Linked DNA regions of Mus musculus: region 1 is reported to be linked to region 2. Evidence: microRNA targets listed by miRTarBase, many of them from high-throughput screens and not tested one by one. Region 2 holds a microRNA gene; the other region holds the end of a gene's coding sequence.

Region 1 (13,963 bases), not on the chromosome of region 2:
ACTTTCATTCTCTCATCTGGTCATTTATTTGGCAATACTGTTTGTTAATATATCACTGAGTTCAGGTCCCACTGAGGTTCATCAGCGATTCCTGTCTATTAATATTCATCCTCTCATGACTTTCTTGACACATTGTACCAAGGTCCTTGTATGCTCAGTTGAACTTGGCAAAGGAATAATGTAATTCCACATAGCAAGGTTGCAAAAAGGCTATAAATTGTGACTCCATTACTTCCCCTTTTCCCTTGGATTACTCAATCTGAGGAAAGCTATCTGCCATGCTGTGCAGGCATTCAGGAAGCCCAGCGGAAATTCCCATAGAGAACGGATCTGAAAATTTTCACTAATCTGAGTAACTGAAGCTTTTACACACACACACACATACACACGAGCTTCCACACAGGTTTGTAACACTGACCCATATCTAGAATACAAGCCAGGGGAGACCACTGTCTCCTTAAGTAGCTCTGAGGCCCTGGACCCTCATTGTGTAAGAGAACAAACACATTTGTTATTTCAAGTTGCTAAGTTTAAGGAGAATCTCATTAGACAACAATGAACAACCAACATACTCAGGCTAAGTACAGAGAGAGTAAAAAGTTATCAACTTTATTCCTGTTGTTTGTGCAAAATGTATGTGGTAGCCAGTATCTGTTGAGAGACTGATGGATGGTGGCAAGTGGCTGTTTCCCTTCTGGTATACATGATTATTGTCTTCATCAGAGCAACTGTGGTCCACATAGCCTAGGTCCTCAAAAGATTGAGCCTCTTAACATCTCCAGGTGGAGGATGCAGTGAGGCTCAAGATGTCCCTTTTCTCCTGGGGGACAGGAGCAGTAAACAGTCACTGGAGGAGAAGGCTTTCTGTGTCAGAGTTGCCAGGAAGCTGCACAGGGGATTTCTTCTCGTTGTGATTAACCTTCTCTGGTTTACCAAGAAAGACTGGATCAATCTTTTCAGCCATTACCTTCTCTAGCTGGACTGAATAGACATCGAGTTTCTAAGAATAGAAAGGAGTCTGTGGATTGGTTAAATGAATGAATAAAAATCTTCAAAGAGAAGACCTCATTTGAGAAATAAATTTCAGTGATTACTTGATTTCAATTTACATACCACTACAATTGTTATCTGTTTCTTCAAAGGTTTTGTCCCTTCTGAAGAGAGTGCTCTGAGTCTGCCTTGAATCCTAGTGGCTGATTCACAAGGTGCTTAGCATCCATCTGCCGAGCATCCTTTAAGTCTCCGAAGTCAGTCATCACAGAGTATCAGATTATTTCCTGTAAAGAACAATTTGGGCTATATAAAAATACTCTCCTCTTTGTGAATCCACACATTTACCATAATACTTGACTTATGCATCTTTATGTTCCCTTTCTCCTTCTAAGAACTATGTAGACACACACACATAAACAACTACATGCACACAAAATATATACTTGTGTGTGTGTGTATATATATATATATGTATATATATATATATATGTATGTATATATATACACATACATATATACATAAGCACACATACACACACCATATATATGAAATATATACCCATGTATATGTATGTATATATTATATAGTTCTTTTTCTCTTAGTATGTAATTTCTGGCCACTTCTTGGTATTGCCTGCTTCCACTTAGACAAAAATCACATGAGGAAGATGTTCAAGGAAGGAAGGGAAGTTCAAGGAAGACATCTTTTTTTTTGAGAAAAGAGAATTTATTGGGTCTAGATTTTTAGAAACAAGGTTCATGACTGTCATGGTGGAATCAGGAAAATAGGAAGTGATGGCATGGAACAGTAGTTGAGAGCTTCCATGTGGAGATGACAACAATGAGGCAGAAAGAAACAGGCTAACTGGGAATGGGGTAGGCTCTGGAAACCTCAAAATCCATCCCCATGGTATAACTCCTTTAACAGGGCCACACCCTCTAAGTCAAACAACTCTATCAACTGGAGACCAAAACTAAGACAAAAGAGCCTATTGGGACCAATCTCATTCAAACCAGCACAGGAAACTCCACATCTAGTACTTACACATTAGCTACAAAATCAAGGAAGGCATCTTAACACAACTGAAATCAAATTTATAGCCACAGAGATTATGAAAATCAGTAAGATAAAACTGTACTTTCTCTGAAGCATTTATTTTGATTGAATATTGGAGCTGCTATCAGGACGTTTGATAAGTAAGTTACTTTTATAATGAAATGAAGATGGAAGTAATCACAAAACTAAATGAAAGATTAAAATTTTTAAAAATTATGTAAAATACACTCACCTGCCAGATAATGAGGAATGGCCTGGGAGCAATACTTGATTTGCTGTCAGCCTTTGTCTTTTTCATGGCCGGTCCACATGTACATAGATACACATGTGCATTTCACTACAAGAGTCCATTGTTGTTGCTCATGGCTTAGAGTTGAGAAATGTGTTTGGAAGGATGACACAAAATCAGGTGAGGGAGTTGACAGGGCTGTTAGAAACACATTAAAACCAAAAACGACTACCCAGTTTTGTTCTCTCGTTCTGCATTTTAGTTTGGCTGCAGAGCATTAATGAGGTCATGGAGAGAACCCACTCATGACTCAATAAGCCTAAGTTTGAAGTTGAGATGTGGAGACTAAATAAATAAATAATAAATAAATAAATAAATAAATAAATAAATAAAGCTTAACTCAAGTTGAGTGACCATTCCTGGGTAAGAGAAGAAATGAAAACAGGAAGCTGGGAAACGTCTTCATTACACCTGATTAAAATACATAGTTCAACAGATCCTGCAGCCTGCACCAGATCTATCTAGAATGCTGTCACCATTACCTCTTCTAAGTCTTCATTCATTTGTTACCAAGGAGACAGACCTCCCATCCTCATGCCAGCCTCTGCTACCAGTGGGATAGTATTTGCCCAGTAAAAGAAAAGAAGTATTGATACGATACAGTTAGGTGGGTCCTGAAAACATTCAGAGAAACAAGATCGTCACAAAAGCCCACAGATGGCCTTCCACTTATGTCATATGTCCCAGATTGCTGTCTCTGAATTCCCAATACCGAGGGACCCATGGATGTGATGTACCAGAGAGGCTACTTAGCAATGAAAAGAGTTTTTTTTTTTGTTTTGTTTTCATTTTTGCTTGTGTTATACCATAAACTGAAGAACAAGACCACATCTGCACTCTCCATTAATAACGCCCTGGGAATACAAGCACAGTGAACTGCCTCATTCTAGCCTGTGGTGGTTTTGACAGGGCAAAAAGCAAGTTACGGCAGCTTTGAGATGATGTATCTGTGCCATCTCCAATGTCACACATTTTTCTTAATTGTCCAAGCATAATTAGACACCTTGGGAGGCAGAAGGGCTCTTATTACACCCCTACACACACACACACACACACACACACACACACACACACACACAGACACAGACACACACACACACACACCACGCCACACAACACACACACATGTGACATACTTGGACTTGACATGTATACATACATGCATTTGAGTTGCATAAGGAGCATTTTATTTCTAGCATGTCACTTTGTAAAGTTGAAGAGATCTGACCTCTTTGACTCAGCTAGTACACGATAGAACTAGATGCCATTGCACGACTGTGGAGCAACTAAACTCTGCAGTCTTCACTTGAGCATTTTTACTGCTAAGAAATGGTCTCTCTTGAAAGATGCACCACATATAAGGCTGTGCAAAGCATGATTATGTTTTGACATCCTCAGAATAGCTAAACCTAAAGACAGAAATCTTCTTACTGATGATTGCGGATGGGGCGTTGGGGCTAGGGGACAGCGGGGGTGTGGGAGTGTGTGTGTAAATGCTTAGTACACACTAGCTTTCCTTCGAAGCAATAAAAGCTTTTGGAACCAGATGGAAGTAAAAAAAAAAAGTTGCACAATGTTGTGAAATACTAAATACCACTGAATTGTATACTTTATGATGGTTGGTTTTTATGTTATGTGACTTTTGCCTAGATTAAAAACAAAAGGGAAGAAAGGGACTTTCCGATTTCCAAGTTCTTGAGAAAGCCCTTTCTCCTGAAGGAATGAGTAAGGTGTGATGTGTCCGTCAGTCAAGTGCTAGGCCATGGGAGAGGATGGAGAAGCACCAGGGCAGAGTATGCCCTGGACCAGAATTCAGCAGAACTGGAGAAAGTGCTGCAGTGGGACTCTCTCAACAGCTTCTTCAGAGTCCTGCTGATTCAAGCAGCACTCTCTGCACACCCTCCAATCCACCCTTAGGTCCTAAATCTCATCGGGAACCATGTCTCATAACCTCTCATTTCCAAAGGAACGTTCATTTCCTGAAGACCCGCAACTTTGTTGTATTTCCCCCAGCCCCAGAAATTTTGTTTAAATAATAAAGCTACACAATAGAAGTATCTGGTCCATGCAATTTATCTTTGCATTAGCTGTGGAAATAGGAAGATGCATTGGCAAGGTCTTTGTCCCTCAACAAGACCAGCTCCAGGCATCTGGACACTGTCACCTCTCTTTGTCATGCTTCTCCTTTTGTACACTGCAGCCATACTGACCCCGTTGCAGACCCTCACGCGTGTTTGGCTTGTCCTGGCGTTTGTTCCAGTCCTCCCTCAGATTTAGGCCACCCTGCTGCAAATCTTTGCTCCATCTCACTGAGGCCTCTCCTGACCACTCTATATAGTAGTAACACACCTTGCTTTTTTTTTCTCTCTCTCCCTACCTTTGCCTCAATTCTCCCTGTCCTGATAAACGGATCGGAGCATTTATAATCTCATAACATAGTATTCTGCACAATCATTACACAAATTCTTGTCCGTCCTGTTATGAGAGATCCAGCTCCAGATTGGTGGTCTTTTTGTATGTTATTAGCATGTTATTAGCATGTTATCCTAGAATAGTGCCTAGCTGTAAAAAGTAAGAACTATTTGATAGATAGTTGTAGAAAGATCAAGAGTCCTAGTGGTTCAACATAAACTGCTGTCTCTCTTTATTGATGAGTATTGAATATATTTCCAAATGAAGCCGGTTTTGCTGCAATTTGTAAAGACTTTGTTGTTGTGCACTCTTGATACCTAAGATGGGATTTGAGCATGCACACCCAGGTTCTGAGGATAACACACTGGCCTCTGGCCTAGAGCTAGACCTTCAATCTTTCCCACCATGTTTTCTGGGAACCAGACTGAGACCCCTTGCAGACGGAGAAGGAAGAGAAGAGATTAGAAAAAGTTCCATTGGCTTTAGCCAACAAACCTTGGCAGTTGTGTGACAAAGAATTCTAAGAGGTTCATGGAACTTTGTTGCTAAATTTTCTCACTCTCTTTCAGTACAGTAGAGCTTGCTTCAGTCTTTAATAGAAGACACCAAGTCACTTGTTTATAGACAAATAAGAGTGTATAGGGGTCACAAGGCAGAGCACAGGGGGACTCCATCAACTCTGTCTGGGTCCTACAACATGAGCATACCTGTCTATCAGCTGACTTCCAGATGTTCTGCACCTGGTCCTGTTATCTGACTGTCACCCAGCAAACACTTCCTTCTCAAGTCCATTCTATTAACTTAAGAGAATGGGCACTTACACTTGATATATTTGTATTATAATATAATATACACGTACCTTTAGTTAGTCTAAAAATGGTGGAGTGCTTGTTCAACTTTTAGTTAAATAGTGAATTAATCTCTAAGTTGGAAATATTTCTTTCCATGGGTGTTGGCATACTGAAGCCTTTCAGGCTGTGACCCGAGACTTTGCACATTTTCATAATTGCTGATTAATTATGCAGCACATGAATATTTCCAGTCTCAAACCTTCTGAAGCATGTCTGGACCTGGGGATATGAATTTTAGAGTGCTGTTCATGAAACCCAGGGACTCATGGGTATGAGACAAGTGCTTCCCCCCCCCTTCCCAAAGCCACATCATCTGCAGGACACATTTCCAAACATCCTCAGGTGGTTTCTATGAACGTTAATCTTAAGAACCAATGTCATACTCTATTACAGTTTATCACATCCTCTCATGGGTGTCTCATTCCTGTGCATTACAGTTATAGGAACAACTGATGGACTGTGACTTTAATTTACAGATATGGATAAAGAACATCCAAGATGTTAAATCTAAAATTATACAGCTAGGCCATAAAAAGGGGTTGACTTAGAATCAGACATTGCCTTATTTTAGATAAAACTCTTGTAATATCTGCTTTGTTTTGCTCTTTTGTTGGCAAGTTGAATATGAGAATTAAACTGTGACATACTTTGGAGAAACTTTCAACCAGGACCTGAGTCAGTGCTGGAGAAACAGTGCCATCTTGTGGCCGTGTGGAACCACAGCCCCGCTTTCCTTCCCATTTGTTTGGAGCCCACTGTTATATTTTATTGACAGATCCTTGGGCCTTTTATTTTATAGCTGAGACCTTTTTTTTTTTTTTTTTTTTTTTTTTTTTTTACATTTAGTAAGAGGGAAAACAAACACAGGGATTTCCATTTTTATCTGTCTTTTAGGAATAAAGGACTAGTAATGCATGGCTTTTAAAATAAATGTAAAGAAATCATTTACCATAGCACATTCAGGATATATTAAGACATATTTTTAAAAATTTTTATTAGATATTTTCTTCATTTACATTTCAAATGCCATCCCAAAAGTACCCTATACCCTCCCCCTCCCTGCTCCCCTACCCACTCACTCCCACTTCTTGGCCCTGGCATTCCCCTGTACTGGAGCATATAAAGTTTGCAAGACCAAGGAACCTCTCTTCCCAATGATGGCCAACTAGGCCATCTTCTGCTATATATGCAGCTAGCGACAAGAGCTCTGGGGGTACTGGTTAGTTCATATTGTTGTTCCACCTATAGGGTTGCAGACCCCTTCAGCTCCTTGGGTACTTTCTCTAGCTCCTCCATTGGGAGCCCTGTGTTCCATGCTATAGATGACTGTGAGCATCCACTTCTGTATTTGCCAGGCACCGGCATAGCATCACTCGAGATAGCTATCTCAGGGTCCTTTCAGCAAAATCTTGCTGGCATATGCACTATTGCCTGCATTTGGTGGCTGATTATGGGATGGACCCCTGGGTAGGGCATTCTCTGGATGGTCCATTCTTTTGTCTTAGATCCAAACTTTGTCTCTGTAACTCCTTCCATGGGTATTTTATTCCCTATTCTAGAGAGGAATGAAGTATCCATGCATTGATCTTCCTTCTTCTTGATTTTCTTGTGTTTTGCAAATTGTATCTTGGGTATTCTAGGTTTCTGGGCTAATATCCACTTATCAGTGAGTGCATATCAAGTGACTTTTTTTGTGATTGGGTTACCTCACTCAGGACACATGCTCCACTATGTTCATAGCAGCCCTATTTATAATAGCCAGAAGCTGGTAAGAACCCAGATGTCCCTCAACAGAGAAATTGATACAGAAAATGTGGTACATTTACATAATGGAGTACTATTCAGCTATTAAAAACAATGAATTTATGAAATTCTTAGGCAAATGGATATATCTGGAGCTGAGACATTTTTATCCTACATTTCATGGATTTACTCATCAAAAACAAGGTAATTAAGTCATGTGATAGTAACCAACAGTCAAGTGATTCATATTTTTTCTCACTTTATTTACTGGGGTGTAGGACCATTTTGTCCACTTGTATGATTCTGGACTTGTGGCTCAGGTAGATCCTTCTACCCTGTAACTGGAGGCATCTTCTAATGAAGCTCAAAGTATCAAGGACGTGTCTCCTCTCACTAAAAAATCTTCCCCCTAAAGCAGTATTATATTAGAAACAAAGTTAGAGATTGACCGTTATTTTACTGATGGTGAAGTGTCTAGAATGAAGATCTTGTCTTTCTGACTAGAAAGTAAACAGGTGATATAAAAGCTGAATACATCATATACATCATATTCACACACACACACACACACACACACACACACACACACACACACACACACACAATCAGCATGTCTCCTTGCAGTCACTTGGTTAACTAACATCTTCCCTTCTAACATATTTAATTATCGTGTCTGTGATGCGTGCACATTCGCAGGTGCACATGCACATGTAGCCATTCTTACTTAGGATGTCCCCCTCTATCGCTTTCCACCGCTTTGGTTTGAGAACACATCTTACTCCCACGGTTCTGGTAGACTAGCTGGTCAGGAGCTTCTGGCATTACCTGTCTCTGCTTTCCAACAATGGGGTTACAAGGATGTGCCACCATTACAGTGACTGGTTTCTTTTAGGGCTGGGGATGCAAATTCAGGCTGGAAAGCACACGCACCAAATGCTTTACGCTCTGAGCTACCTGCCCTCGCCCCATCCCAGTTTCTACTTTAAAATACAAAGTTGACTATATCTGAAGGAAAACCCTTCTGTCCCAAAAGCTTATAAATATACATAACATCTACATCACAGATCTCCAAGGTGTTTCAGGTGACAGCACAACCTCCGTCAGTATGTTTCCATCTTTGGAGCCTTCCACTGGAGGGTATCTGGAAGGGGTTTGTCATACCCCAACAGAACTACTTCATAGGATCAGCACTTTATATAATACAGCAAATCAGCTCACTACAGTTTATTATCTTCTTTCTGCCTAGAACCAAGGTATTCATCCAAGCACTGAACTGCTAAGAGGTCTAAGTAAGCATTTAAACCAATGAAAATGTATGCTAGCCTTATTTATGATAGCCAGAATCTGGAAAGAACCCAGATGTCCCTGAACAGAGGAAAGGATACAGAAAACGTGATACATTTACACAATGGAGTACTACTCAGCTATTAAAAACAATGAATTTATGAAATTCTTGGACAAATGGATGGATCTGGAGGATATCATCCTTAGTGAGGAAACTCAAACACAAAAGAAGTCATTAGATATGCACTCACTGATAAATGGATTTTAGCTCAGAAACTTAGAATACCCAAGATACAATTTGCAAAACATAAGAAAATCAAGAAGAGGGAAGACCAACGTGTGGATATTTATTCCCCCTTAGAATAGGGAACAAAATACCCATGAAAGGAGTTACAGAGACAAAGTTTGGAGCTAAGACAAAAAGATGGACTATCCAGAGACTACCCAACCTGGGGATCCATCCCATAATCAGCCACCAAACCCTGACACTATTGCATATGCCAGTAAGATTTTGCTGAAGATACCCCGATATAGCTGTCTCATATGAGGCTATGCAAGTACCTGGCAAACACAGAAGTGGATGCTAACAGTCATCTATAGGATGGAACACAAAGTCCCCAATGGAGAAGCTAGAGAAAGCACCCAAGGAGCTGAAGGGGTCTGCAACCCTATAGGTGGAACAACAATATGAAATAACCAGTACCCCCAGAGCTCGTGTCTCTAGCTGCATATGTAGCAGAAGATGGCCTAGTCGACCATCACTGGGAAGAGAGACCCCTTGGTCTTGCAAACTTTATATGCCCCAGTACAGGGGAACACCAGGGTCAAGAAATGAGAGTGGGTGGGTAGGGAAGCAGGGTGGGGGGAGGGTATAGGGAACTTCAGGATAGCATTTGAAATGAAAATAAAGAAAATATCTAATTAAAAAAAAAAGAAAAGAAAAATGTATGCTAGCTTATAAGTGTGACACATGACCTCACACAAATTTCTGTCTGTGTGATCTATTCTCAGATCACTGGAAACAGAAAGACAAGCCAGAGGTATGACAGAGTTAAAGCCTTAGTCAAATCCCTTTGCTAACAAACTATCAGAGTTGGTGCCAAAGGACAGCTTAAACTAAGTTCCATCTAAACACCGCATGGCATAAGAAAGTTGGACCAATATGGGAGCCAAACTTCCTTCTTCTGGTGCACAAATCTATTTGAACCCGGAAATTATTGAAAGATATAAGTCCCAACATACTAAGAAATCCTGGCTCAGAACAGGAGTCTCTGGAGGAGTTGGTAAATAAATAATAAATAATAAATAATAAATCTTCTATGCATGAAGTTAGTACACATAAATACAAGACTTGTCATTCAGATCTACAATTCAAATTCAAAAATACACCAAGAAGGTCACATGAGTATGGCTAGTGATGTGGCTCAACAGGTAACCTTAGTACAAATTCCTAGAACTCCTGTAAAAGGCAGTTATGGCACATATGTATCTGTAAGCTTGGTAATGGGAAGTAGGCAGAGATGGTGGACTGGCTGCCAGTCTAGGTCCAGGCTCAGTAAGAGTCTGTCTCAACAGAATAAGGTGGAGGATGCTAAATCAGGATACCTCTTATTCTATGGCATCTCAGTACGTGCACATAGACATATACATGTGCACACAAATGTGTATACAGTGCACATGCATAAGTTCTTGGGAGCCATGTGAGGACAGTGAGTTTATGATTGGCAGCATGAGATCACAAGTAAAATTTAATTTTAAAAGTATTTTTAGGAAGGACTCATGAAGAGCTGTAGACTCCTTAAAGTAGGATGATGGAATAAGATTGTGACTGTAGCCTTGGCTGGATTTAAAATCACCTAAGAGACCCACCTCTAGGTAGGCCTGTGGGTATGCTCCAGATAGGCTTAATAGAAGAGGGAAGACCCACACTGAGAGTCTGCACACCATCCCATCCCATGAACCAGGATCCGAGTGTGAATAAAATGGAAATGAAGAAGGCTGGTGGAGCACCAGCCCTCCAAGGTCTCTCCTTCCTGCTACAGACACAGCTTGACCAGTTGCCATGGTCCCCCAGCCCTGGCCTCCTTGTCATGATAGACTGACTGAACATTCAAAGCACAAGGCAAGCCTTCTTCCTTTGGTTGCTTCTTGCCAGATATTTGTTTACAACAAGAAAAGAGACTGATAGACACAGCTTTCCACGTAACCTTAAAATATCCATGAATAGGAAGCAGAAACATATGTATAAGTGAGCATTCACAGATAATTAGAAATGTCACGAACAGTGGACAAAACGATAAAAAATGGGAATGGTTAATTTGAGGAGAGTAATGAAACATCTCCCTACATACGATCTTCATATAAAACTATAATTTCAAACAATCAGAGCAGAGAGAAGTTCAAAAAGCTACAGGAGGTGATGCTCTACTCTGGGAGGAAAGAATTGAGGGACTCATACAGGAGTTATTCAAAGAGAAAAGATCCAAGTCTTCAGAACAGCAAGGACATGGTATATGCATGCGTGTGTGTGCGTGTGTGTGCGTGTACACTCATATATACATATACGTATACATATACATAAACATATACACATGTAGCATCATTAAAGAAAAATAAGGACATGAGTTTGAAAGAGGGAAATGAAGGTGTTAGAGAGAGGAAAGGGAAGGCGAGATGGTATAATTATAATCTCAAGGGATAAAGGTAAATATAGCTGGGCAGTGGTGGAGCATGCCTTTAATCCCAGCACTTGGGAGGCAGAGGCAGGTGAATTTCTGAGTTCGAGGCCAGTCTGGTCTACAAAGTGAGTTCCAGGGCAGCCAGGGCTATACAGAGAAGCCCTATCTCAAATAAATAAATAAATAAAAATAAATAAATAAAAAATAAAATAAAAGTCATACTGCTTAGCAAATGAGTTAAAACTAAGTTTACTATAATCTCAACAATTAGGAGGGTGAAGCAGGAGGATTACTACAAATTTCAGGCCAGCCTAGACCACAGAGGAAGATCTCAAGAAAACAGGGATAATGAAGGATAGGGAAAGAAGCAGCAGAAAGGGGAGAAGAGGGAGGGGAAATGGGGGAGGAGAAAGAGATTAATAAATCCACATTGGAACTCTTTTAAGTTAAATTGCTGAACACCAAGAAAGTGTGGTAAAGGAACCTTCAGAGTCTATTAGAGGAAAAGAGAGGAGTTGCCTAGAAAGGAATATTTAGACCAGAAGTGGGCATATCATTAACAATGAACACAAGAATACAGTGGACTGATGTTCTAAAAGCTAGGGAGAAACTACAAATACTGTGCATTATGTAGACTTCCCCTTTCCGTTCCTAATTATCTGTCTGCCTGCCTATCCATCTATCTATCTATCTATCTATCTATCTATCTATCTATCTACTTATTTACCTGGGTAGTAAGGATTGATTCAAGAACCTTAAGGGTGCTAAGAAGGTGGTCTACTACTGAGTTATCTTCCAGCCCCTGGTATAAAATCCAAGCAGGAAAACTTCCATTCAGATGAGAGCACGGGAAATAATTGCAAATAATGTTGTGCTGTATGCCATATCGAGATCACTATATGGAAACTAACAATGTAGTACTGCATAGGGCCTGGTCAAATACCAGAGGACTCTGTGGTTACTAATGAAGAATGCTTAGAAGTTTAAGTATGCAAGGCCCATGGGGGTCCCTGACCTCCTTTTGTACATAGTCCTTTTTCCTGCAGCCCATACGTGACATAAGTATTCCTTCTCATGATGTGTACCACAAAAAAAAAGATTCAATCACTGAAGCAAGGTAACTTTGGAGCAAAAGGTCACTTTAAGTCCAGAACACAGCCATGGTTATTGATGTGGGAGTGGTCATTCCCGGAGCCTCTGGGTGAAGCCAAGGGGAAGAGACTCACATCCTCCAATACAAAGCCTTTTCAAAGGGACTCAGAGTTCTTGGTTCAAGTTCAAACTCATTAAAGAAGGCACAGGATGTTCTTATGCTTAATCTCACCTTAAAACGTGGGAGTTTCATATCTGAACTCTACTGGGTTTGTCCTTCTGCTCTGTCCAACTAGAAAGCTGGACAGGACATACCTCAGAGAAAACTGTCATACCTCAGAGAAAACTATAGGCAAATCCCCCAAGCTGTGCAATCTTTCTGCTTAAATGCACTTTTGAGACCACGGTCATCAGATTCCTCAAGAATATCAGACATCTGCCAAGCTAAAGTATTCTTGACAGTAACAGCCATAGAATGAACCATTTAATTATTAAAAGGCTTTGGAAAGGAATTTCCTCCTAAGAGGTCAACTCAAGCTTTAAAGATTCATTCATTGCACAGGTAGCATTTAAGTCGTCATCTAGAGTAAAGAAAAATGGAATAACAAGCAAGACAACAGAGCAATAGAAATGCAAAAAGAGATACTTTAATTTAAAAATTATTTCTTCTATTATACATTTCCACATAGAGAGGAAAAGAACTGTCCATCAATGGAAGGTCTTCAATTAACTGCGAGTATTTGTTTCAGTTTATAATTCTCCTCAGTTCATAGTATATGAATATAAACACAAACACTGCAGATTCCACTTCACATTTAATACAAATTTCATGGACATTTGAATGTAAAAATTGCAGTAGACAGAGAAAATGGTTCATCTCAGCAACTGCAGAGAATAACAGAAGCAGTCCCTGGAACCTGCTAGTCATTTGACCCTCACTGAGTATCAACTACCATTTGCTGGCAAAGAGAACACACCAGGAGTTGCCAATGTCAATACAGTTGGCATTCATTTTGTTTCCATCATGGGTGGCAGGCTCTCTCCTCTCTTCATGGCTGGAACTGAGGTAGTTTTCACTCCAGACATTGTCCTTCATTTTCATTTCCAGTGTCTGGGGTTGATTTTCCAAGGTCCTTCTGGACCATGTCCTGAAATTTATCTAAGGTTCTGCGACATTCGGCTTTTTTGAGACCCTTGATTAAATCTTGATATGCATCACTCTTCCCATGAGATTGGTACCAGCACAGGAGCAGCTGGACTTTCTGCTCAGCTGTGTCTTGGATGCTGTCATGCATGATCTCATCTATCTTGCCCTCCTTGATGTTATTTTCTCGAGCAAATTTTTTAGCTTCCTGGATTGTCATGTCTTCAGCAATTCTCGGGATGTATTTACTCAAGCTAAGATCTGAAAAACAGAAAATAGTTTCTGAAAATGTCTGTCTAGGAGAAACCCCCTTACAGAAGCCGGGTTCACATCTGCGCTAGGTGAGACCCCTAGGGTAAGCTTGAGTTGTCCTCCCAAACTTGCTAAAGTATTTTATAATTTACTCTCTGAGCCAGACAT
Region 2 (15,344 bases):
GGGGACCAGCAGGACTGAAGCAAGCAGCTCTGCATGTGAACCCTTCAGATCCCATCCTCTAAGTACTGCTTTCTGTTGCTTCCTGGGCCATAGCTGCTTTGGAGAGTTGGGGCAAAGGTGATGCTGTGGATAACAGAGATCCCTGTGTGTGTGGCATCCCCTGCTAGCTGGCCGCTCACTGGGCTTGTGTAGCCATGTCCTGCTAAGCCACGGTCAGGAGAAAAACCTGGTAGGAACTTGGCACTGGCCTGGAGTGGACCCTGAAAAACCCTCTGCGTTTGGTAAGGACTGCTTACTTTGGGATATCTGCCATTTCTGGTTTCTACCCTGGGGACATTCTATGACATTTCTGCTCACCACAAGCAAGAATACCTTGCTATAGTATCAATTATTTCATTCTTTTGATGTGAAATTCGTTTGAATAAATAAATACATAAATGCTTTAAAATCCTCCAGTACTATTGGAATAGCTGAGTCAGAGCGCCCAGAGTCCTTTCTGGGACTTTCTCAACCCCACCCTTCCCTTCTTCCTGCCTGGGTCCAGCCAGAATTCCCAGTACCTCTCCCTTGGCTTCTGTCCAAAGGCTCACAAACAAGGTGGTGAGCTCCCAGCCAGCCAACCTCTGCCCCTTCCTGGGGTTCAACTCTCTTCTACAAATCCGAGTGTGGATGGCTCCCTTCCTAGGCCAGGTTCAGGATCTATGTAGAGGGACAAAACAGTGGGTTCAGGATCTATGCAGAAGGATAGCCCACAGTGGGGGCACTGATGTTTCCTCCTGTGCAGGGAACCATGGCCCAGGGGTCAACATCAGATGATCTAGATGCACCCCCTTCCTGTAGCCCTGGCCTCACTCCGGTTGAGGCCTGCTCTAATCCTTGTCGGAAGCATCCCAGATAACACGGAGGGGTGTGTCTCCTCTGGAGAAGAGATGGAGTAACTCTAGGCTGTCTTGGTTGGAAGGAGGCCATTTCTGGTGGGATCAGTGAGAACAGGCTGGCCCAGCCCTGGCCTGTTGTTCTCAAGTGATGGACATCTGCTTAGCAATGACGATGACAGTATTCAGTGGCAGGGTTAAGAGGCTGGTGTTTCTGCTATCCCACTCACCTCTTGGCAGTTATCTCACACGGATCCTCCTGTCCCGGCCCCTCTACCTACTGGAGGCATGGGCCTGGTGGTAGAGCACTTTGCTCCCATTGGGTTTCTCTCACCCTTCAGCTTCCTCCAGGAATGAAGTGAGGCTAGAAAACGGCATGGAAATAGTGCTGGCAACAAGTGTGCCTGACCACCAAGGACAGTCTCAGTCTCTCCAGGGACAGAGGAGCAGACTCAGGTTCAGGCTTCCAGGCTTTCAACACAGGCTCAGTCTCACATCTGAGTGGTGGGAGGGAGAGTTCCTTAGAGGGGTTCCAAGCCCCTGCCTAAGGCTTGGACACCAAAGCTCTGAAGACCAAGCACTACAGAGTGGTCTACAGCAAACACTGACCCAGGGATCCAGCTTCTTGCTCTGCCCACTTGTGGTTTGGAGCAGGAGCCTGGGTGATGATCCACATCCTTCCTCCGCCAACAGTTCACTCATCACCTGAACCATATGCTATAGAGCAAACTCCTCCCTGGGTGAGACAGCTCAGAGGAGGAGGTCAAGCCTCCCTAGACATCCATTCTTCCGCCCTCAGACCCTGCTTCGCATCCTATTTGACAAGTTAACGTTTGCAATGTTCTGTGTCCTGTGAAGTCAGGTGGCTCACGGAAGAATGGAGACTGCACTTTCTTGACTCCAGAGGTCTCAGCCAGATGAGGGAAGCCTGCTTCCACAGCCTCATGGGCCTCTGGTGCAGCTATGGGTGGCAGGAGCTGCTGCCTAACTTGTTGGGGTGGGGGACTAGAGGAGAGGGGAGGATAGGCTTGCTCTGCACCCAGCCAGAGGTGGCAAAGGACAGCTCTACCACAGATCCTTCACCAAAGCTGTGAAATGGGCATCTGGTTCCAGTGAGATCTCCACTTACCTGAAACCCATTGGCAAGAACCCAAGCCAGACACAGCCAGGCACAGGGCTCAGTGACCCATGGGGACAAGGGACTTGATCCCTGAACAAAACCCACCTTAGGCGACAGCTTTGTTTTGCTTTAGTGGTTCCTAAGAACAAAGAACAAAACCAGACTAAACCAGTGCTTGGCTGCTCTCTCCAGTTCAGAGGAGGTATGGGCCACTGAGGTTCTCAGAGGGGCCTTACAGGGTGTGTGGTTCTTAGTCCACCTCTAAGCAAGGCCAGAGTGCTTCTGAGAGCAGGAAGGCATAGACTCAGCCATTTATTTCAAGTCTTCACAGAAATCAGGGTAACATTAAGTAGAATTAACACACTTTGATACTTGTACCATTGTGGTATACAAAGCAGATAACCATTTGCAAGTCCCCTGCAACCATCCAAATGCAGTCACTGCTACAGCCCAGGCTCTGAAAACCAATGGTTCTGTGCGGACGCTCCTCTCAGTCTGTCCTAGAGCCTTTGTCACCCAGCAGGTCTGGGTGCAGAAGCCTGGCCAGCCAGTGGGATGCTCCTTCTGGTTCCTCTGTCCACCGCTCTGCCTTGGCTGGGCTCATGTGACTGCACTGATGGCTCAGTCTCAAGCACCGTTCTCTAGACAGTGACTGAAAGAGCTTAGAGCTTGTTCTGAGACTCCGCTAGTACCAGGCTGGCTGAAACTCCACATTTGGAAGAGAGCAGAGTCCCAAGCCACACTAATTTCCCTTTACTTCCAACCTTTTTAGAATTAACATTACCTGGAGGTAGGAAGTGTGTGGAAAGTGCCTGTTCTGACACACGTTCTTCTTTGCTTTTAAGGAGCATCAAATTCAGAAGCAAACTGGAACACTAGCAAATCTGGTACTTTATTAAGACATTTTAGGCTTTCCTGCATTTTCAAAAACAGGAATGCTCTGTTGACTGAACACATCAAAAGGGCTTTGCAGAATCCTTGGGGACCAGCCACAGGAGGTGTCACATGATTCTGCAGTCTCAGAGCATGGCAGCTAGTTTTTGCAATCACAGGAAGCAGGCAACCGGCTCTCCATCTGCCTAGGGGAGGGTGTCCTTCATTGAATGACTGCCTTAAAGTCACAGCTCAATTCCAGTGTGTAGACTCAGTCTCTCTAGGACTGGGAACAAAGGCAGCTGCCAGGTGCAACAGTTTATGAGGCTCCGCCTTTTATATATGCCACGGGAGCCCAGTCTCTGGAAGCCCAAGATGGACCAACCACTGCTGTGGGCTGATGGCCTTAGCAGCCACATAATCCTCCCTTTGATGTCCAGGGTCAGTGCAGTCCTGGCCCCACCAGGGCTAGGAGAAGGTATATGAGAATCTCACTGTGATCTGTCCTGTGGAGGAAACAGCAATAAAATTTATTACCCAGTCACCACAGCCATTCCAACAGGAGTCCTCCCAGCCTCTGACCTCCACTTGAGAGGGAACTTTTCATGGGAGGACAGGGGCAACACTGAAGCCACACCTCACAATCCTGGGTCTGGGGTGCACAGTCACGGCACAGGCCATGCAGGGCTGTGAAGCCCAGAGAGGTTCAGAAAGGCTCTACAGACAAGGCCCTTCAGACAGGCATTCTCACTGCTCAAGGCAGCGGTGACATGGTGTGCTCTGCCCCAACACGTGGCAAATGCTCAGCGCCTGCCCTACCTGCTTCTAGGGAATGCAAACTTTCCAAGGTTAGCTCTGCACTCTACAAATCCCCACCTCGGGAGCACATACAGAGGGATACCACTGCTGTTGGGTCTGGTACCAGACACTCAGGCCCTTCATCTTCTTCTCCGTGGGAGGCCTGCCTCAGGCACTTACAGATGGGTAGGCTTTTTGCTCAAGGGCTCGACTCCTGTTCCTGCTGAACTGAGCCAGTGTGTGAAATGAGAACTGATATCAGCTCAGTAGGCACCGGAGGGCGGGTCCAATCACAGCTGGGCAGTGCCTCCTGGCGTGCCCTGGGCATCATCTTGCCAGCGACTGTGGAGACATGGAGACCTGGACTGCAAATACAAGAAAGAGTTCACCACGCCCAGCAGGGACAAAGAACCACACCCCCACCCATCACGTGTGGCATCAGCTGAGACAAGGTTGGCTCAGTTTCCTTGATGCACCTGGGTTTAGTTTTCTGTGACTCCCAATACACTTGACATTACAGTGAACTAATTAGCAGTAGAACTGTATTTTCTGTAGACACACTTAAGGGTGGTCAGCACGCTGTTTGCACTCTTGACAACACAGCCTTGAGGCAGGCTGGTCTCTCCTCCTCTGGAGTGACCACCAGGCAGTGGCCTCTGCCTGGCAGCTGCAAGTTAACTGTCCCCATCTCACCTTCTCTTCAGGTGCAGAACTTAGCCACTGTGAACAAAGCGGAAACCAATCACTGTTCACCAATCAGCTAAGCTCTGCACCTTGTTAGAGAGGTCATCGCCGGCCATAATTAAAGGGCTGGTGAGCATCTTCGAAGGCTGTTGGCTTCTTTTGTTTCCAAAGAGCCACAAGGCGCCTCTGTTCTCCAAACTGCAGAGAGAAAGTAGCCACGGTTCTGCAGGAGCAGCCAAGGTCATGGTTGCGTGGTAATCCCTGGCAATGTGATTTTAATCTCAAGTCACAAATCAGCATGCCAGGAACCCAAGCAGCCAGAGCAGGTGAGGGCAGCACCATGCCCAACCACTCCCATCCACATGTGCTGAGTGTCCTCCAAACCGCCTCTGAGCCCACCACGCTAGCAGTGCAGCCTGCTGTCCTTCAGCGCGCTGGCTGCACTGTATAGAGGAGCATAGGGGACTGGGAGACAAAGGACACACTTATCAGCTATGAGACCAATACCTTAGGGACCATCCTTGCTCTGAGTATGTGGCCTTTAACCCTGGGACACACCCTGTTCTCCAATTGCAGACTGAATGGGTTGGGATGTCTCTGGGCCCCTCAGACAGCAGGTGTGGTGTGTAGGGAGGGAGCATCTCTCTGGCTTGCCTGTGACCAAGCATTTGGTTGGATAAGCTGAGGCATAGCACAGAGCTCATAGGGGACCTAGCAAGTTGAGGATTTGCTCACTCAGGGGGCAAAAATACTCTTAGAAGAGTCACTAGGACCACTATGTGACTATGGCTTTCCTAAGTGAAGGCCTAGGGACCTAAAAAGGGAACAGTGGCTTTACTGTGTGACCTTCACACACCACATACCAACAATCCCTCAGCTTACAAGTTTCTAGAGAAATGTCTGCAGGAGGCAGTGAAGAGGCGCCCCGACCGACTCTGTCTATCCACACAGGCCACCGTCCTAGCTTGTAGTGTGCAGGCTTAGCAGGCTGTACCTGCTTACTCCAGCCCACTATCTCCCCTGCTTGACTGTGGCGGTCCCCAGCTCTTCTGCAACAACATGGTCATACATAGTAACATGTTTTCCCTTCATCAGTGTAGTTCTTCAGAAAAATAAACATTACACAGAAGTGGGTTTTATAAAAGTGAAATGTGAAAATGTAAATTTAATGTCTGACAATGGGTTAAGATTAGCAACACAATTCTAAATATTCATTAATTGGTAATCATAGAGAACAACAGAGTAACACAGTGATTGATGTAAAATTTCAAACATATACAAAAGTAAACATCATATGTACCACCATGGCAAGCGATAATGTCCTGGGATGATGTAGAGATGATGACTGGCGACTATGAAAGAGACGCACTAGCCCACACCTGTCTCAGAACTCCACGCCCTGTGGCTGAACTGCATTACTGGTCCACAAGCTGGCTACAGAGGAGGCAAGTTACACCACAGCCAAGGACTCTGGGAGCCAGCGTAAATCCTGTTCCAGCACGAGATGGAAACAGACTTGCCTTTAGGACGCAAGTGTCACTTGGATGGAGGGGCAGAGAAGACCTGCTGCCTACTCTACAGGTCAGAGAACCAGAGGCCAAGGAGTCTCAGGTTTACACAGCCTCTAGGAGAGATGCCTGCATGCTGAAGCCTGGAGCAATGAGGCCATGGACCGCTGTGTTGACCTTGACCCTGGAGCCTGTGGACCTGTGCAAAATCCAGGGTGGCTAAAGCAGTGCCAGATCTGTTGCTCCTTCAGCTGTACCTGCTTCACACCCATGCTTCCAGCAGGTGAGGTGCTCCAGAGATCCTGAGCCTTCTTCCTGTTCCTGAGGACCCACCTTGCTGCTTCCTCCCCAAGACCGTTTGGCAGCCCTCTGGTGCTGTGGCTCATCATGTGGCTTACCAATTGACATGGATGGTTAGAAGAAAGAAAAGAGAATTACCTCTTTAGAACAGCATTTCAGTCACCACCTGGGCCGATGCTCTGTCCATGTGTTCCTTCACCAGCTCAAAGCACCTGTGGGCTAGCTGCTGCAGCCTGGCGTCCTCACTCACCATCAGCTCCCCATACAGGTATATGCCCATGGCCTGCAGACCGTGAAGGCCAGAGAAGAATGGGAAAGGGGTAAGAGGCTGCACATGTTTATGGGGACTTGTTTGTATTGCTTTACACAAGCTGGTCTAAAAGCACAAAGGACAGAGAGAGAGCCTGCTGCCGTGCAGGTGACCAACTGAAGCTTGCACCTTCTACTCTGTCTCCATTGTCCTTATCAACACTCTATGGAAGCTGAACATGGTAGCACAGGCCTTTAATCTCAGCACTGGGAGGAAGAATAGGACGATCTTTGTGAATTCAAGGCCAGCCTGGTCTACATAGCAAGTTCTAAGCCACACAGAGTCACACAATGACACCTTGTCTCAAAAAACAACAGAAATACAGAATTCTATTGATTCTGTCAACCGACTCCGGTGCCCGAGTAGCAAGCTATCCCAAGATGGCTATTGTCAGGAATACACTGGGCAGAGGCAGAGAGCTCTCAAAATGGTCACCATGGAAAACCTTGTCTGTCAGGCCAGTGCATCCTAAAGGGTAGCTGGCATGAGCTTGCTTACAAAGTCCATCACCTAACAGGCCACAGAGACCACATGGCCAGCAGTGCAGGCAGGGCAGATGCTGTCACTTTGGCCTAACCCAGCCACCAAATGTCAGACTCTTGGCTCTTCTGCTTTGAAAACAATGCTACAAAGGCTTGAATTCTCACTGAGCCAACATTAAAAAAGCAGCCAATTACATTCTGCAAGTTCTGCCCGCTTTCTTGTTCTATGGAGTTTCTCAAGGGTTACATTCTGCTTCAAATTCAAGTGTTTCAAAGGCAGCATAGGATAAAAACTCAGTGTCGGCTTCCAAAGAGCTTTCCTGCAGGGGCTGAGGCGTGGAGGTCCCTGTACAGCAGACAGCATGGCTATGCCAGTGAGCTGCTCTTAGCTCTGTTCCTGTCTGCTTTCTCAAACAATTCTTACTCCACTGTGCAAATGTGACATTTCTGCTGTAAAAAAGTCACATCCTTTGCTTTATGGGAAAAACCAGCCCTCACTTTGACTCTGTCAAAAGTCCTTTTGTCCACCACACCCCCACTTTCCATCCCATTCAAAGTGGCTCTAGCCCATCAGCCCACAGTATGCACACAGGCTAGCCAGAGGCGCCAGTTGGGGTTGGGAGTGGGACAGAGTATGGGGGAGGTCATGTGGAAACATGTCATGAGGTACAAAACATCAGAGGAGGTACCCTGAAGGATGACCCCAAAATGTGTCACAAACCAGAGAGGTGGCACATGAGGTTACACACACATACATGTACGTACACAAACACACAAACACACACACACACACACACACACACAGAGCCTGAAATTTGAGGCAGGAGACTGCTTCCTAGGACATTCTTAAAAGGAGAGAATACACAGGCTAGGCAGGGCCTGGCATGGGTATGACATGGTGTGAATTCCCAACAGGTGACCCAAGGGTTTCCCATGTGATTCACACATGTGCTGTGCTGTGCTTGCAATCAGAGCCTTACAAGCTGGATGGACCCATGGTGTTGCTAAGCAATGGCCTTGGACTGAGAGTTCTAGGGTAAGCCTCACCTAATGCCACATTCCGTCCACAGCCAGGACAGAGGACGGGGTTCTGTGAGGACACTGAGGGCATCAGCTCACAGCTGCCAGTGATCTTCAGATGCTAACTAGCCCTTCAAAGTTTTTGAAACTCCTTCAGATAATTTGTTCTGACAGGGATGTGGAGAACTTGGGACTGGGAATGGTGGCCAGTTTCTATCTCTTGGAAGATCACACTCACCTGGTCCTCCAGTAGGAACCTCTCCACCTGATTGTATGCCTTTGTGTACTTGTGCTTAATAACCAGTTCACACCATCGATGGCGAACCTGGGAAACAAGACAGGAAACCTGGTAAGCAATGCTCCTCTGCCAGGAGAGTGTGGGGATAAAGGGCGACTGTACTGCAATTTCACCAAAGCACGGGGCACTTGTGTAGGAAGTGTGGCTGAACGAGCGGTTGCATTTCATTTCTTCCTAAAATCGAGGACTGGAACTCCCAAGTACAAGGACTGTCAGCCAACAGTAGTAGAAAACACACAGAGCTTCGGGAAGCAGCTTCCCTGTGCCACGAGCAACAGGGATGGGGGTCGGGCCTGTACTCGGCCTGTTTGGCTCCGTTTCGCCAGGTTTAACAATTAAAATGCAGTATGTAGGAAGCTGCCAACTCCGAGCTCACACCAAGCCGGGGTGGGTCCCTACCTCTGCTCAGATTCATGGAGAGGCTCCAGCAGGCTGCTCTTGAGCTTGCAGCTCCTGCTGAGAGTCCGCTCGCATGTGCCACGTGCACCTAGTAGAAAGACCATGCTCTTTTCAAAGACAGTTCTAAAGGTTTGCCTGCAGGAACTTGCCAGGGTCCTCTTGCCCTACCTCTTACAGGCACCCACTGCCTATGAGACAGTGGTCAAGCCACCAGGCACAAGAGCCTTGCAGGGCCACCTCTCTGTGTCGAGGCATTAAAAAACAAAAAGAGGTATTTATTTTATGTATGGGAGTTCACTGTTGCTGTCTTCAGACACACCAGAAGAGGGCATCAGATCCCATTACAGATGGTTATGAGCCACCATGTGGTTGCTGGGAATTGAACTCAGGACCTCTGGAAGAGCAGTCAGTGCTCCTAACCACTGAATCATCTCTCCAGCCCTCACATTCATTTTTTTTTTTAAACCAGGTGCTTCTGCCTGTTTGCTTCTCAGAGTACAATGCCACACCTGTTGCCAGCAAGCTGTCTGAACTCTACCCAGCAAGCAGCCAGCCAATCAGTGGATGCTACATCACTGCTTTAGTATCAGCCAGTAAAATTTAAAGTCTCCTCATGTTACCCTTGTTTTTATTGCCTTTGATCCATTTTGCAGTCAGGAATAAATGGTGACATTTTGGCTAGGCCCCCTGCAAACCACATTACTATACAAGACTTCTAGAATTTATCAAGAGCCCCTAGGAAACCATAAGGAATTAGCTCTCCTGTGCTCACCAGATAGAACCAGTGGGCAGCACCAGGATGATGGGCATCTGGTCCCAGGGGCGGGGGTGGGGGGGTAGTCTGTCCCTTTCCCTTTCTTCCTAATTCCAGGTCTTTCAATGGCCTAGCCACACCCAAAAGCTGGCAACAGAACCTTTTGTTTGTGAGCTCTGGGGCTAGCCAGGAGACCCTGGTATGACAGTCCCCCAGGGTCTACTGCTCTGCCACCTGCTCAGTCAGGCCAGAGAAAGAACCTCCCTTTTCTCAACTACAAAACAGCAGATACCTAAACCCACTTTTAATAATGGCACACCTAAGAGAGTATTCTGAGGACCTTTCATGTAGGACCTGGCTGAACTACACAAATACATATACCCACCTTTAATAATGGCACACATACAAGAGCTGTGTCGGACCTGGCTGAAACTGTTTCGCTGCTATGACTTTTGTCATTCTAAAAGTGCAAATTACATTTCATATTTTATTTTGAGAGTAAAGGGCTTTAGAAAGCTACAGGATTAAGGGTTGGGGTGAAACAGTGAGACTAACTACTCTTTGGGTAAGAGATTTATTCAGTTATTAATGCCACAGACGGAGAGCAGCATGGTCGGGCTCTGAGGACAGATCAGGCAGAGAGTTCTTCAGAGGAAGGACGGCTTTCACACCATCGATTGCTGGGCAGTCCACAGTACATGTATGTAGTCAGGGCGTCCCTAATTCCAGTGGACAGAAGAAAGGCAGGGAGTCTGTTAGCCTGGGGCCTAGGATCAGCTACGAGGGCAGGGGAAACAAGAAGCCAGACAAAGAGGACTTCCCCAAGTAGCTCCCCTACATCCAGGACAGGGTCTCACGGAGCCCGAGCTGACCTTGAATTTGGTGCACAGCCAAGGATGATCTTGAACTTTTGCACTTCCTGCCTCCACTTTCCAGGTGGCAGCATTACAAGTGTGCAGAGCCATGTCCGGCTATGCAGCAGTTTCTCAAGCCCAGGGCTTTATGCATGCACTTTATGCTAGGCAAGCACTTCTACCCACTGAGCTACAGCTCTCGTCCCTCATTTTCTTTTCTATGCTTTCCTCTTATTTACACACAGAGAAGAAACAGAGCATGCTCCAGGATCCATTTGTGAGTAGCAAAAGGCCCCAGCGGGTGGGGGCAGGAGGCTCCAGCAGCCCTGCTGGGATATGTGAAGGTTCAGGAGGCCATGTCACAGAGGCTCTTTCACAACATGAAGTCAGCGTTTCCACTCCTCTTACAGTTAGAAACGCTTTATTGTCGTGACTAATGAGAGAGCCGATCTTCTGACCCCTGAAGGCTAGCTAACATGGCATCCAGGAAGGACAGACAGTCTCCCCCACCCCACAGAGAGCAGGACAAAACAGCCTTTTCATCAGAAAGGGCTGCATGTATTCCAGTATTCCAAAGACAGGATGTTTAAACGACACCACAGAAATGCTGCACCCCAGTCTCCACTCACGCAAGCACTTTTAGTTTTCTTTTTAGTTCTCAGGGCAACAAAGATTATCTTAGTTTTCTCTCCCAAACTCGCAAGCACCCACAACCCATCTCCTCATAGAACAAGGTTAACACCTGCTTCCCCAGTGCAAGCGCCACCAGTGGACGGCTGGGTTGCCTTCCTCCAGGTCAGACTTTGGTGCCTTTCAGAGGCGACACCTTGACTCAAGTTCCCACCTAGACTGACACTGCAGGGACTCAATACTCCACAAGCTGAGCCTCAACACTCAGAGGGATGGTCCCTGTAACAGTAAAGGCGAAAGACAACTACAGCACCATATAACCCAGGTGTGTGCTGTCTCCTGCTCTGCTCAATTGGATGCTGCGGCATTCCCAGACCAAGCAGCAGGCACCTCTGCATTCCGAGAGACACTGTTAAAGGCCCTTCAGTGATTCAAATTGCTATCTTTGCATTTCACACATCTTGAGCTACTCCCACTGCTGGGGCTATGGGCCTCTGACAAGTGAGGACAGCTTGCAGGTATAGCAGGGCTATGGGAAACTGAATGGACAGAAGACACTGTCACACCAACTAGCTCTAAAGGAGCTGAAAGCTGTTTCTAGAAGAGCTGCCAGCCAACAGGGACATAGAACTGGAGCCCCAGGGCTCCTTGTGAGGGCAGCATCCATCTTAGAAGGTGGAACCTCTCTCTCTCAGTCTGGTTAGTTAGCAAACCTTTACCTTCTTATTGGATCACTGGCTCCCTACAAATCCCACCTCCATTTGTCTGAGGAATGTTTTGTGTGTCAGGAAGATTAGCTCTTGATTAAACTGCAAGTGTTTTCAGCAGAGTCATCTTGACTGCGGCCATGGTGATTTTGCTTGCATTTCTGAATGGTTCTAGTTGAATTTATTGATTATTCTTCCTACGGTTTTTCAACTCTGTTCTTTTAGTTTTAGCATTTGTGTTTATGTGTGTGTTCCATATGATCTAGCTGCACTTTCCTTGGGTTCTCTTAGACATAGTTTTGCTATTTAGCTCAGGTTGATCAGAATTTTCAGTGTAGCTCAAGGCTGCCTCCCAAGTTCTGGAATTATAGGTGTGACCCGCCACACTTGGAAAACTACACTTTAGTAGAGTTGAAATTTAATGATTTAAAGAGCAACTAAAATTCAGGTCATCTCAAGCTTTTGCTAGGAATCCCCATCAAGTCTGGAGTTAGCAAATGCTTAGTGTGAAATAGCACCCAGATGGTCAGGCCAGGCCAATGGCAGAGGCCAAGGGAAGGGTGGAAGCCTGCGTAGGTAGGCAGGGAAAGGCCAACTCAGAGTCTTTCCTGGAGATGAAGTTGAGTGAGTGGCTCCGGACTCTGTAGTGTCTGTGCTCTGGCTGGACACATGACTACCAAGAACCTGCTCTCTCTTTTCTTACAGAGAGCAGACAGTCCTTAGCGGGGCAAGCCTACAGCCCTGGTGGCCCCTCACTGCCCCAGGCTGAAGGACAGGTGCCTGTGGACATGGCCTAGCTCACCAATGGCAGGAGAGAGAAGCTGGGTTACCAGAGACTTCCTAGGTGCCGTAAGTTGATTCTTTTTTTTTTTTTTTTTTGGTTTTTCGAGACAGGGTTTCTCTGTGTAGCCCTGGCTGTCCTGGAACTCACTCTGTAGACCAGGCTGGCCTCGAACTCAGAAATCTGCCTACCTCTGCCTCCTGAGTGCTGGGATTAAAGGCATGCGCCACCAAGCCCGGCTGTAAGTTGATTCTTTGTGATACATAGGTGTGTAACAAAAAGTTGCATATGGTGCATGCCTCTAATTCCTATAGTCATGAGGCAGAGGCAAGCACATCTCTTCAAGTTTGAGGCTAGTTTAGTCTACATAGAATATTTCAGGCCACCCAGGACTACATAGTAAGACTCCACCTCACACACACACACACACACATACACAAACACACTCCGAAAAACCTTAGAAAAACTATTTTCCAGGATGCTCTGTTTAGAATGTGGGTTTTTACACAGAGGTGCCGCTTATCCCACCAGAAATGGACTCCAGAACTCTGCAGTCCTTCAGGGCCTGCACCAATACAGGGACCTCTGTGAGCAGTGCTCCTTGTGCTCGATTGGTTGGGAACAGATGAGAGGAAGGGCACATGGAGGATAGGCCTGCAGGAGCTTTCATGTCAGAACTGCATCTGAGGCCAGACAACTAAACCTGCCAGGTAATTCACATTACAGCGCTGAGTCTTACAGTGGGACTGCCACCAGGATGTGCTGTGGCAATAGGTCTGAGTCCTGGGACCATAGTCAGCCAGACAAACATGGGCTATGGCTTATCCACTCCCAAAACTGTAGGGTCAGCTAGCTCCATAGGCTTGGGGGAAGGAAGAGCCAGAGGGGTTCCACCAGGCACACATACACACATAGCTTATGCCAGAACATGTACAAACGTGTACACACAAATAAGTTCTTTTTTTCAACATTTTCCCATATGCAATATATGCAACACACTGAGTTTTTATTATTGTTTTAATGCTAGTAGTTAACAATAGTAAATAAATGTTGTGTCCTGCTATTTTGTGGAAAACTGACCAAATGGCCCGAAGAGTGTGGCCTTCCTAGAAGGTGGAGGGCCATGCCCAAGAGACTATATAGATACTTCAGGAGACTCCACATAGTAAATCTTCTGTCGTTTTCTCATCTACTACAAAAGTTGACTATTGAATCTGTGAGACTTTGGAGATAGGTAACACCTGGGAATGTGTGCCCAGATGACAGGGCAGGACTTAACGAGGTGACCTTCTCAACCCAGGTGATGGCTGTGAGCAAGAAGGGATCCAGGAGAGAGAAGGCACTGGTGGGGACCACACAGCTTAAGACCAACTAGCCTTGGCCATCGAGTCCTGGTTGCAGAAGAGAATATGGGGCCTGGATGACCGCTGGAGGAAGAGACAAGACCTTGGGGTGCTCACACCACCTCTGGGAAGTACATCCAGGCGCACAATTCTGGGAATTTTCAAGACCATTTGTACAGAGGACTCACTTGGACTCATACCAACCCCAGCTATGTGGCAATTCTGTCCCATGTACAAGGTTACTGTGAACCAGAAGTTCCCTCGGAGCTGAAAGGCTCTTCACTTGTTAACACCACAGAGGTACCCTGCTCTTCTGGTGTCTACAGTCTTAAAGCATTGCCACTTAGAAAGCCACTTCTATTCCTGAACTGTGCCTCAAATTCCGGGCTACGAACCTGACCACCATCAGAGATCTCTTCTGGAAACAGTTGATACCTAGCCTAGCTCTCCTCCCAACCAGGGGACAACAGTGTCAGCATCCCTCTACTCTGACCATAGGCCCTGACACAGCCTTTCTGTTCAAGGCCAGATGCAGGGTACCACTGGTCCTCTGCCCTTTTGGTTTTGCCCCTGAAGAACAGGGCAGACACAGCTCATTACTTAAACCACTGTTTACAGAACAGACTATGTGGTGTACTGACCTAGATCATACATTGCTATCCAAGTATTTCCTCCCCAAACCTACCATGTCAACGGACATCCAGGTGGGAACCCCTGAAACCTTAGGATGGACCCAGCATGACATGCAGAGTAGCCCTGAGTGCTGGTCCCAACCCCCCAAGTCCTATTGCTGTCTCTGCAGTTCCAATTCCAGGCTCAGCATTCATTCTGAGGATTATTAAAGGGGAGATCCTGCATCTCACTGGTCTGTGGGAACAGTACAGGGGCTGATCCAGTGCTGCGGTGGCCAGGCATGGAGGGTGATGCCAGCGCAGAGAGAATGAGTGCAGCCAGCAAGAGCAAAAGGTTCCTGGCTGTAGGCGTGTGGGTCTGCCCTGCTTTATGCTCCTACCACAGACCCAAAGTCATGGGGCTAACCACCCAGGGGCTGGAACCATAGCCTGAGCCAAAAGCAACCTGTTCTCTTTACAAGGTGATTGATTATCTGAGCCATTTGCTGGACTAACAGCTGCCTAGCATACACATACCAGTGTTTTACATGAAGTTGCCTTTCAAGGAGTCAGCCATTGACACCCCTCCCCCTCCCAGTGCTATGGCTGTAGCTCAGTGGTTAGTGCCTACTTGGTAAGATCAAGGAGGACCCCAGCCTCCCCCGAGCCTGCTTACTACTGCATGTTGACTCATTCTTTGTGTTTTTCAAACTTCCATATATAACTATTAGAAAAACCTGGGACCTCAGTGTTTACAGACAGATACAGCAACTTAAATCCTCATGTCACGTTTGTAACAGTTAGAATCCTTTAGCTTTGTTGCAGAACCAGGGTTGAGGCAGGCCAACAGGTGGACCAAGCTGGCTGCTGTGTTGCTAGGTGGCAATGCTGCAGGGTTCTGTGGCGAGCTGGTGAAAGCAAGACATTAGGCCACTGATCCCACTGGCCTGCCTCCAAGCGCAGTGTCTGCCTGCAGCAGGCTTCTGAATGGACAACG

Evidence for each region. Region 2 holds the annotated microRNA mmu-miR-23b-3p (AUCACAUUGCCAGGGAUUACC, at 4,604-4,624, opposite strand). A microRNA usually pairs through its seed, bases 2 to 8, with sites in the 3' UTR of a target mRNA and lowers its output. Matches are read on the target gene's strand: a 7mer-m8 pairs with bases 2 to 8, a 7mer-A1 pairs with bases 2 to 7 and ends in A, and an 8mer does both.
Region 1: miRTarBase lists Fas as a target of mmu-miR-23b-3p. Seed matches in the 3' UTR shown: 8mer at 13,208-13,215.

The regions. Positions count from the first base shown.
Region 1 is chr19:34,326,834-34,340,796 of GRCm38, reverse strand. It overlaps Fas (Fas (TNF receptor superfamily member 6)), which reads right to left. Exons shown (of 9, transcript NM_007987.2): 9 at 13,027-13,804. The coding sequence ends at 13,473. Among named protein-coding and RNA genes, the nearest start is that of Fas, 43 kb to the right of the region's middle.
Region 2 is chr13:63,289,809-63,305,152 of GRCm38, reverse strand. It overlaps Mir23b (microRNA 23b), which reads right to left and starts at 4,669; the gene lies at 4,596-4,669. Aopep (aminopeptidase O) reads right to left here. Exons shown (of 16, transcript NM_001289926.1): 15 at 8,209-8,295; 16 at 2,276-6,441. The coding sequence ends at 6,301. Gm16907 (predicted gene, 16907) reads left to right here and starts at 8,006. Exons shown (of 3, transcript NR_045794.1): 1 at 8,006-8,319; 2 at 12,318-12,461; 3 at 13,694-15,344. It overlaps Mir27b (microRNA 27b), which reads right to left and starts at 4,441; the gene lies at 4,369-4,441. It also overlaps Mir3074-1, Mir24-1 and a transcript of Fancc not described here.